2 linked regions of the Daphnia pulex genome follow. The protein of the gene in region 1 purifies or fractionates together with the protein of each later gene. This does not show direct contact. Links are inferred from orthologs where the notes say so. Each region holds a gene or a part of one and is shown on either strand. Other genes may lie near its edges.

Region 1 (4,056 bases):
TTGCCACACACGAAATTTCTTGGAAGAATTACCTGAGATTTTTGAAAGCAAACTGACATCTGATACTTCAGGAGGCAATTCAGTAATTTTTTTCCTGACAATACCATCACTTGATGCTGCATTTTCAAGGGTCTGAAGTGCTTTAACAAGTTCTTCAGGTTCTGGAGCATCATTAGCAGGTAGTTTTGGAGACAAAGTTATGTGGACTTCTTTCTTTCCTTCCTTATCAAACTGTATCACTTCATTACATTCTGATTTTCTTCGTTCTTTCTTAGTTTTATCAGGATCTTCTTGCTCTTTGTTTTCTTTGACATTTTCTAACATTTCGCGGCTCTCACCCCTATCTCTTCTTGATATTTTGACAGGGGGTTCTCCATTGTCAAATCTTCTCTTGAGACATGATTCTGCATGAAGGTATCATTTAAAATTACGTAATGAAAATTATTTCTATAGCTTATACCTAATGATTTTCTGAATTCAGCAATCTGTTTGGAATCAAACATGTTTCTGTCTCCCCAAATATTGAGAATTCGTTCTAGTCTTTTCTGAGTGTTTTCATCATTGACAGCTTGACCCATCAATTTAAGGGCTGGAGCAAGAATTGGACCAAAGTGATCTCTAAATTCTGGACCTTTCTTTCTGCTGTTCTGGATGACATCGTTGACGAGATAGATGAAAGTGAGTTTTCGACTGTCCTTGGCTAAGAAATAGAAATGCTGGAATTTAATTGGAAATGTGGATTTAGGAATTTTTTTACTACCTTTCGTGAATTCCTTTAACCAAATTTTGACGATACTAGCATGGTGTTTACGGTGGTGGATTAACCACAAAGACAATGTTTGAATACTTTGTTGAGAGTTGTTTAGTTCGGCTAATTTTTTCTCTAGTGCGGCATCAGAAAATCCTGACATTTTGTAGATTAATCTCCATAGATTAAGTTTCGTCTATTACGTTAACCGCAAACTCAGTCCCTAAGATTTGTGAGTCAGTCTTCTCTTCTTCTAGAATCTCGATTAGGTAAAGTAGCAGACAAAAATGCACGAAATTTTTTGTCTGTATTTCATGAGAACCATCCTCTTTTTCCGAATTTTGATTTAGTTTATAATAAAAAAAAAGAACAACAGTCATAAATTTATTTCGTTTTATTCTATATTTCATGTTTAAAATTAAAATGTAATAAAAAATCACCCAGTTAATAGAAATATAAGGACTAAATTAAAACAAATGCTTTCTATGTTTAAATTGGAAAATAATTTACAAGTGTTTGACAACCCTGCTGTTCGCTAGTTTGTTAGTCTGTCAAAATTTGTCGAAATTTGTCGACAAAATCATCACTGTGTTGGTATTCAATAGGTTGTTGTGTATTATTTAGATCAACGCGTGCAATTCCTTTAGTTCCAAAATACAGCAATATGAGGTAAGCTTATGGTATTCATATTCACATGATCATAAACTAAATTAGTTTGAATTCTTTTTAAGCACACCGGAGTTGAGCGACGTCGACATGCTGGTAGCCAAGAATGAAAATGAAGGAAAAGAAGAAGACGAAACCAAAAGCAAGCACAAAAAAACTAAATTAAAGAAGACTCACAAACACAAGAAAAAAGATGAAAAGCCAAAGTAAGTTTCCAAGTTTCAAAAAATTCAAACTTTTCCCGTGTATGTATTATAGATATACAAATCACATAAATTATGATATTGTTTTGTGTTGACGAAATGAATGTTGCAATCCCAATTTTCTACCTTTCAGGAAAAAGAAACGTAAACAGAAGAGGGATCAAAGTTCAGATGAATCTGAAAATGATGAACAAAAAAGGAAGAAAAAGAAAAAGATAAAAAAGGGAGAATCTGATGTGGAAACTGAACCTGCAAAAGCAAGGAAAACTCTGAAAAATGGAGTGGAAAATGGAAAATCTCAAGAAATTACCCTTGTAGATTTGGAAGAAGAATTGAATCTGGAAGAACTGATGAAACAAAAGGTTTTTCATCTCATAACATTATTTTGTAAGCATTAACAATATTGAACTTTTTTTTACAGGAGCTGCTGCAAGCTAGACTTGGTGCTTACGATTCTTCTTGCTCTGACACCGAAACCAAAACGATCGAAGTAAAAACTACTGAAAAACTACGAGACAAATTGAAAGAAATCGAAGTTTTAACCGAAACGCGAAATAAGGAATCTCGCTTAATTCGGGATAAAGAACGGATAAGAGAAAGGGAGTCAGAGCAAGAACGCAGTAGAGAAAAAGAACGAGAACCTGGACGGGACCGTGAAAGAGAAAAAGGAAAAGAACGAGATCGAGAAAAAGAAAGAGATCCTGGACGAGAAAGGGATAGAGAAAAGGAGAAAGAAAGAGAAAAAGAACGAGAAAAGAGAGAACAGCGAGATCGACAACGTGAGCGCGAGGAAAGAGAAAGGAAAGATCAACGTGAACGAGAGGAAAGAGAAAGAAGGGAAAGAGTCGAGCGCGAAAGAAGAGACCGATCTAAAGAGAGACGAGATAGAAGAGACAGAGATATGCGGTCGAAGCGCGAGAGAGAAGACCGAGATCGAAGAATGCGTGATCGTGACAGAGGTCGTGAACCAGACAGACGAGATCGCCAAACTAGAGAAAATGAACAAGATCGTGAAAGAGATCGTAATAGAGACTGGAACAGAGATAGGCCGAGAAGAGATGATCACAGAGATCGGCCAGGTAAAGAAGATCAAAGGCGTTCTACGAAGAATGGAGAATCTAGCAAGCCAAACGAGTCATCATCGGAAGATGTGTAAGAAATTTGATTAGCGTTTATGTAGATTTTTCAGCTGTTAATTGTTCCTAATTTCTGTTGCGTATTTATTAGTCCACTGGATATTGAATTTGAGGATGAAGAAGAAGACGAGGATAAGATTATTGAGCAACGCCGTAAACAGAGGGAGGAGTTGCTTAAGGTAATGCAAATTCTGAATATTTTAAACAAAGCACCTATTGGCAGTTAACATTTTTTTCTACCTACATTTATCACAGAAACTGGGAGCTCCTTCAGAAGACTCCAGCCAGTCTTGGAATGTAGAGGGCTACGTATCTGGAACATCGTCACCTTTCAAAGAAGTGCTAAACGAAGGCGGAGAAGATTCTATGATGAGCACTCCTAACATGTCGTTTGATTCTCCTATCATCGTGACAAAAAGCAGCTTTAGTGATGTGGATAGGCAGAAAGATTCTATCACTGGTGAACCATCTGGAAAAACTGACAGTCAAACGGATACCAGGGAAGCGAAGCTTGAGGAAGAGAAGCGTGCTAAAAAGAGAGACATGTTCGCTCCGGAAGCTGATATGTTTGCGGAAGAGTACAGTGTGAGTTTCTATTTCATTATTTTTTTTCTAGTGTGCCCATATTCAATCCAGTCTACTCACAAGTAATTTCAGTTAGTGCCGAATATTACTTGCGTATCTTCGTAATTTATTTTATGAGCCTACTATTTTGTTAGAAAAATGTTTAAGCTGATGGCATTGAGATTATCGTAGATCAATAGAAGAAGCCGTGTCCGACTGCTCCTTTGGCGACGTCGTTGAAAGCAACACTTCGGCATCTTAGCTTCCTCTTGTATGAGCACACTGATGCACCATTTGTCATTCGAAGTCATGTTTGAACAATTTTAATAGCAGTTGGAAACCATTTTCTATGTACATTTAACAGAGTCCTGCTACCGCTATGGAACAAATGAAACGCGTGTCAGACAACCCTAATCTAACTGACAACTGGGACGACGCCGAAGGTTATTACAGAGTTTGCATAGGAGAGACTTTGGATGGGCGATACTCTGTATATGGTTACACGGGCCAAGGTGTATTTTCGAATGTAATTCGTGCAAGAGATCAACTTCGAGCTGGCCAAGAAGTGGCAATCAAGATTATTCGCAACAATGAGATCATGTGAGTGTTCATCAGTTGCGTATATTCCCAAGGAAGTATCCAGTTGTCAATGCACATAGTTTTCATTGAGTTTTATGCATGCTTATCAGTTCGCCTTTATAGCTGTTCTTGATTTACAGTGGATGAACCGATCGGGCAG
Region 2 (4,147 bases), on another chromosome or scaffold:
TACATTGTTGATGCCGCAATCAGATTCAAAGAAAATGACAGTGTCAGTGTTGCTAAGAGTAGCGTCCCCAACACGGTGAATTGTTTCCAAACCAGTAGCCAAGCCATCGTGCAAAAAGACACCGCCATTTACGCCGGGGTAAGCATCCCATCTATTTAGGAAATTTCAGAAAATTCATATTTACTAAAAATAAAGTTGATTGTCAATTTTTCCCGTCATACGTAAAGCTAAAATCGCCATCTGGAAGCTGAATACGGTCGTATCCTAGCAGGACTATCTGCTCGCGAACTAAAGCCAAAACCTAAAATATAAAATGTTTTTAAAAAGACAAAATTCAGTAAATCAAAGAACGAAATTGAATTATATTACAAATACCTCGTCCATGTATTCATTGGCATTTCCTGCTTCCCCACTTCGAGCACGATTCATCAAATGTTCAGAGGCCGGAAAGGAAAGACGAAGAAGCGGCTCGCCTTTTCCAGAAACGGGGCGTCGAATTCCAGCACCTACCAAAAGTAATGACAAAATTAAAAATTATGGTCGTTAGAAATTTAGAATCAACCCAATCAAGGAACGAGTAACAAATATGAGCAAACCATTGGAAAGGGTAAAAAGGCAGAGCAAAGCGAAAATGCCAACCACTTTCATGACGAACGAACACAATTTCAGTTTAAAGTTAAAGAAAGAAACCGTGTCCTTTTGAGAAACAGAAAATGCAAACTGCACACGACCAATTTATACAAAAATTATTGGTCTATCAATGATTGGGCAATCGATCACTTCTTGATTAGAAAGTGATATAAATGGGTTTTTCAAAGATTATGATTGTGACATCGAACTTGATTTGACTAATCTGATAATCCGTATTGCGTGCTAAAATCAAAGGGCAAACAAAATTACCCAATGATTATATTTTTGTACACCTTCGAAGGACGAACTTATACAAAAAAAAACATTCTATTGAAAATGAATTACGAAATTCTAATTCACCAATTGCTTAGTTGATTTTTAGAAACCCGGAAATTGCTTGTTTCCGGGTTTATGGTTCAAGTAAGCAATTTGTATCCAGGCAGAAAAAATCTACACTATGCTGAACATCATTATCTGAACCATGAATATCGCTTTCAAAATATAGACTTCTGTTGACATAAGTTAATCAAGGTAAACAGAGTTCTGATAATACATCCAAACAAATTCGAGACAAACTCTAAACTTTGAGATGATTACACAACACCCAAGACCCAACAGCGTTACCAGACACAAAATAAGGGTTTTTTAGTTAGTTATCAGGATAGTAATTCAAACGATAAAAAATAGTAGCCCCATCTTGTACAAATAATTATTTACTTGACGCATGACCATGATAATCAAACGAAATTTTGAATCGCGTTACAAGATTTGAATGAAGTAGTTCACGCCATCTACAGGACAATAATTCTACTTTTTCGTTTACCGGCATTAACGCGTTGCATTCGTTTTATGTGTCTGCTATCCTTTCCGTAACTCTGCATTCGAGTTTCCTTAATTCTTAAACAATAAGAAAAGCTGTCAATTTTGGCTCTTGGGGTAAATATCTTTTCAAAAATGGGGACGGAAAAGAGTGATATAAAGCGCAAACATGAAGATTTCGATGATGAAGACGAACCCGTCGTGAAAACAAGTATTGTTGTCACTATCCACAAAACCAAATAATAAATATAGTGCAATCCGTGTAACAACTTTTACTGATAAAAATTCTAGGAGAACCAATTGCCAAATCTCGTTTGTGTCCTTATTTGGACACAATAAACAGGACAGTTTTGGATTTTGATTTTGAAAAACTCTGTTCAGTCTCGCTCACAAGGATTAATGTCTATGCATGTTTGGTGTGTGGGAAATACTTTCAAGGTAAATTTGAAGTTAAACAGCAATATTCACATATTTTAAATTGTTTCAAATGAATTCTAGGAAGAGGCCCCAGCACACATGCATATCTTCACAGTGTGGGAGAGGGACATCATGTTTTTTTGAACCTTCACACCCTAAGATTCTATTGTCTGCCAGACAACTATGAAATCATTGATTCATCACTCGATGATATCAAATATGTCTTGAATCCAACATTCAAAAAAGCAAATATTGCAGTGTTGGATGTCATTGATAAAGTATCTAGGTCTTGTGATGGTACTCTTTACCGTCCTGGAGTAGTTGGACTCAATAACATCAAAGCTAATGATTACTGCAATGTAGTCCTACAGGTAATGAAGTAGTAAACTATAAATTAAAATAATAAACTTTACTTACTTTTGTATTAGGCTTTATCTCATGTTGTTCCACTACGCGATTACTTTCTCAGGGAAGAGAACTACATTGGTATCAAGCGTCCTCCTGGAGACAATAACGTCATCTTAGTTCAGCGTTTTGGTGAATTGATTCGTAAGCTTTGGAATCCACGCAACTTTAAGGCTCACGTTTCCCCCCACGAGATGCTCCAGGCTGTCGTTCTGTGCAGTAAAAAGAAATTCCAAATTACAAGCCAGGGTAATATTAAATTATGAGAATTGTTATTAAAATTTTACCTTGCTAATTCTTCATTTTCCATATTTCAGGTGATCCAGTGGAATTTCTTTCGTGGTTTTTAAACGCGTTGCATCTGGCATTAAACGGTACCAAGAAGCCAACTTCTTCAATCATCTACAAATCTTTTTTGGGAGCAATGAAAATTCATTCTCAGCGAATCCCACCCATCGATGCCACTGATACAGAAAAGGATGCACTGATGTTGACTGCCGAATACGTCGAAACATTTGTCGATTCGCCTTTCCTTTTTCTGGCAGCCGACTTGCCTCCCCCTCCTCTGTTCAAAGATGAATTTCGCGAAAACATCATTCCACAGGTTTGCCAAAATCAATTAGCTTGTAGCATTAATTAAAAGCTAGATCGAGTCTTTTGTTGATTTTTCAGGTATCTCTGTTTGCATTGCTGTCTCAATTCAATGGAGTCCAGCAAAAGGAATACAAGACCTACAAGGAAAATTTTTTGAAGAGATTCGAATTGACAAAACTGCCACGTTACATTATTCTCAACATCAAGAGATTCACGAAGAACACGTTTTTCATAGAAAAGAATCCCACCATCATAAACTTCCCCATCAGGTAAATAAAATTACCACACCATTTTTTGTTGACTGTTACAAAATTGAGATGTGCTTTTAGGGGTGTGGATTTTGGCGATATTCTAGGTGCAGATGTTCGCGCCAAACACGGATGTACCACATACGATCTGTTAGCCAATATTGTACATGATGGAGAACCAACCAAGGGAACTTATCGTGTTCACATACTTCATAAGGTAAATTCGTTTTATTGTTGACCAATAATCACAATAAACTTCACGAGTCAATTGCTTCTATTAGGCGACAGGAAAATGGTTTGAAATGCAAGATCTGCACGTGACAGAAATTCTTCCGCAGATGATCACTCTCACAGAAGCTTACATTCAGGTAGAAAAAAAAATACAATAAAACGTTATTATGTCCCATTTAAAATGTTCAAACATTTTAGATATGGGAACAATCTACGGAAAGAAGCGACGTTGAAATGTCCAACTGAAATTTCTGTCAAAAGTGTAAAACCCGAGTTGAAATAAATATTCAAATTCGTACTAAAGCATTAATGTGAGACTTCTTATTGGATTGAATAAAATTAACACACCACGTCGCGAGGAAAACGAACCATGTTTGATTACACAAGATGCAATAATACACAACTTATTTCGTTTTTTTTTGTTTCATTTATCTTGCTCCAAACGATGTTGTGTGGCAAAACAGGGAAAAAGGAGTGATTTGTTTAATTAAGAGAGAAGAAGTGGGTTTGAGAATGCAGAGCAAAATAAAGAAATCTTGAAACAAACACGTAAGAGACAACCCCCAAAGAGGACAGAAGGGATGAAAAAATAAAGGGTCGTAGTGAAAAATTAGATTCACACCGCGCAATCAAATTGTCCTTCATGAATTCCGCTCGTTTGCTACTCTTTTTCCCTTACATACACTCGCACAAAGTTTCTTCAAAAATCAGACCAGCATTCGATCGAATTCAAATAGCTTATTTTTTTGCGGTGAGCAGCGGTGGGGTGATTTTTATTTTATGCTACAAAAAATTGGAAAACG

The links.
Region 2: the proteins of serine/threonine-protein kinase prp4-like (region 1) and U4/U6.U5 tri-snRNP-associated protein 2-like purify together in Homo sapiens (affinity purification with mass spectrometry; 3 studies listed by BioGRID and IntAct, with this or other methods). This does not show direct contact. The link is inferred for Daphnia pulex from reciprocal best matches to the Homo sapiens genes PRP4K and USP39.

Annotation. Positions count from the first base shown.
Region 1 is NC_060020.1:7,005,439-7,009,494, forward strand, and holds the start of serine/threonine-protein kinase prp4-like, read left to right. Parts: upstream 1-1,256; 5' UTR 1,257-1,412; coding exon 1,413-1,417; intron 1,418-1,479; coding exon 1,480-1,620; intron 1,621-1,750; coding exon 1,751-1,979; intron 1,980-2,038; coding exon 2,039-2,769; intron 2,770-2,844; coding exon 2,845-2,932; intron 2,933-3,008; coding exon 3,009-3,338; intron 3,339-3,681; coding exon 3,682-3,917; intron 3,918-4,056. Other genes in the region: regulation of nuclear pre-mRNA domain-containing protein 1B-like, read right to left, coding at 33-404, 461-700, 761-911. UniProt on the Homo sapiens protein: Serine/threonine kinase involved in spliceosomal assembly as well as mitosis and signaling regulation. Connects chromatin mediated regulation of transcription and pre-mRNA splicing.
Region 2 is NC_060025.1:1,779,025-1,783,171, forward strand, and holds U4/U6.U5 tri-snRNP-associated protein 2-like, read left to right. Parts: upstream 1-1,453; 5' UTR 1,454-1,584; coding exon 1,585-1,660; intron 1,661-1,740; coding exon 1,741-1,887; intron 1,888-1,947; coding exon 1,948-2,237; intron 2,238-2,294; coding exon 2,295-2,520; intron 2,521-2,588; coding exon 2,589-2,875; intron 2,876-2,943; coding exon 2,944-3,134; intron 3,135-3,194; coding exon 3,195-3,330; intron 3,331-3,394; coding exon 3,395-3,481; intron 3,482-3,542; coding exon 3,543-3,590; 3' UTR 3,591-3,647; downstream 3,648-4,147. Other genes in the region: uncharacterized protein LOC124202306, read right to left, coding at 4-151, 222-301, 376-506, 597-648.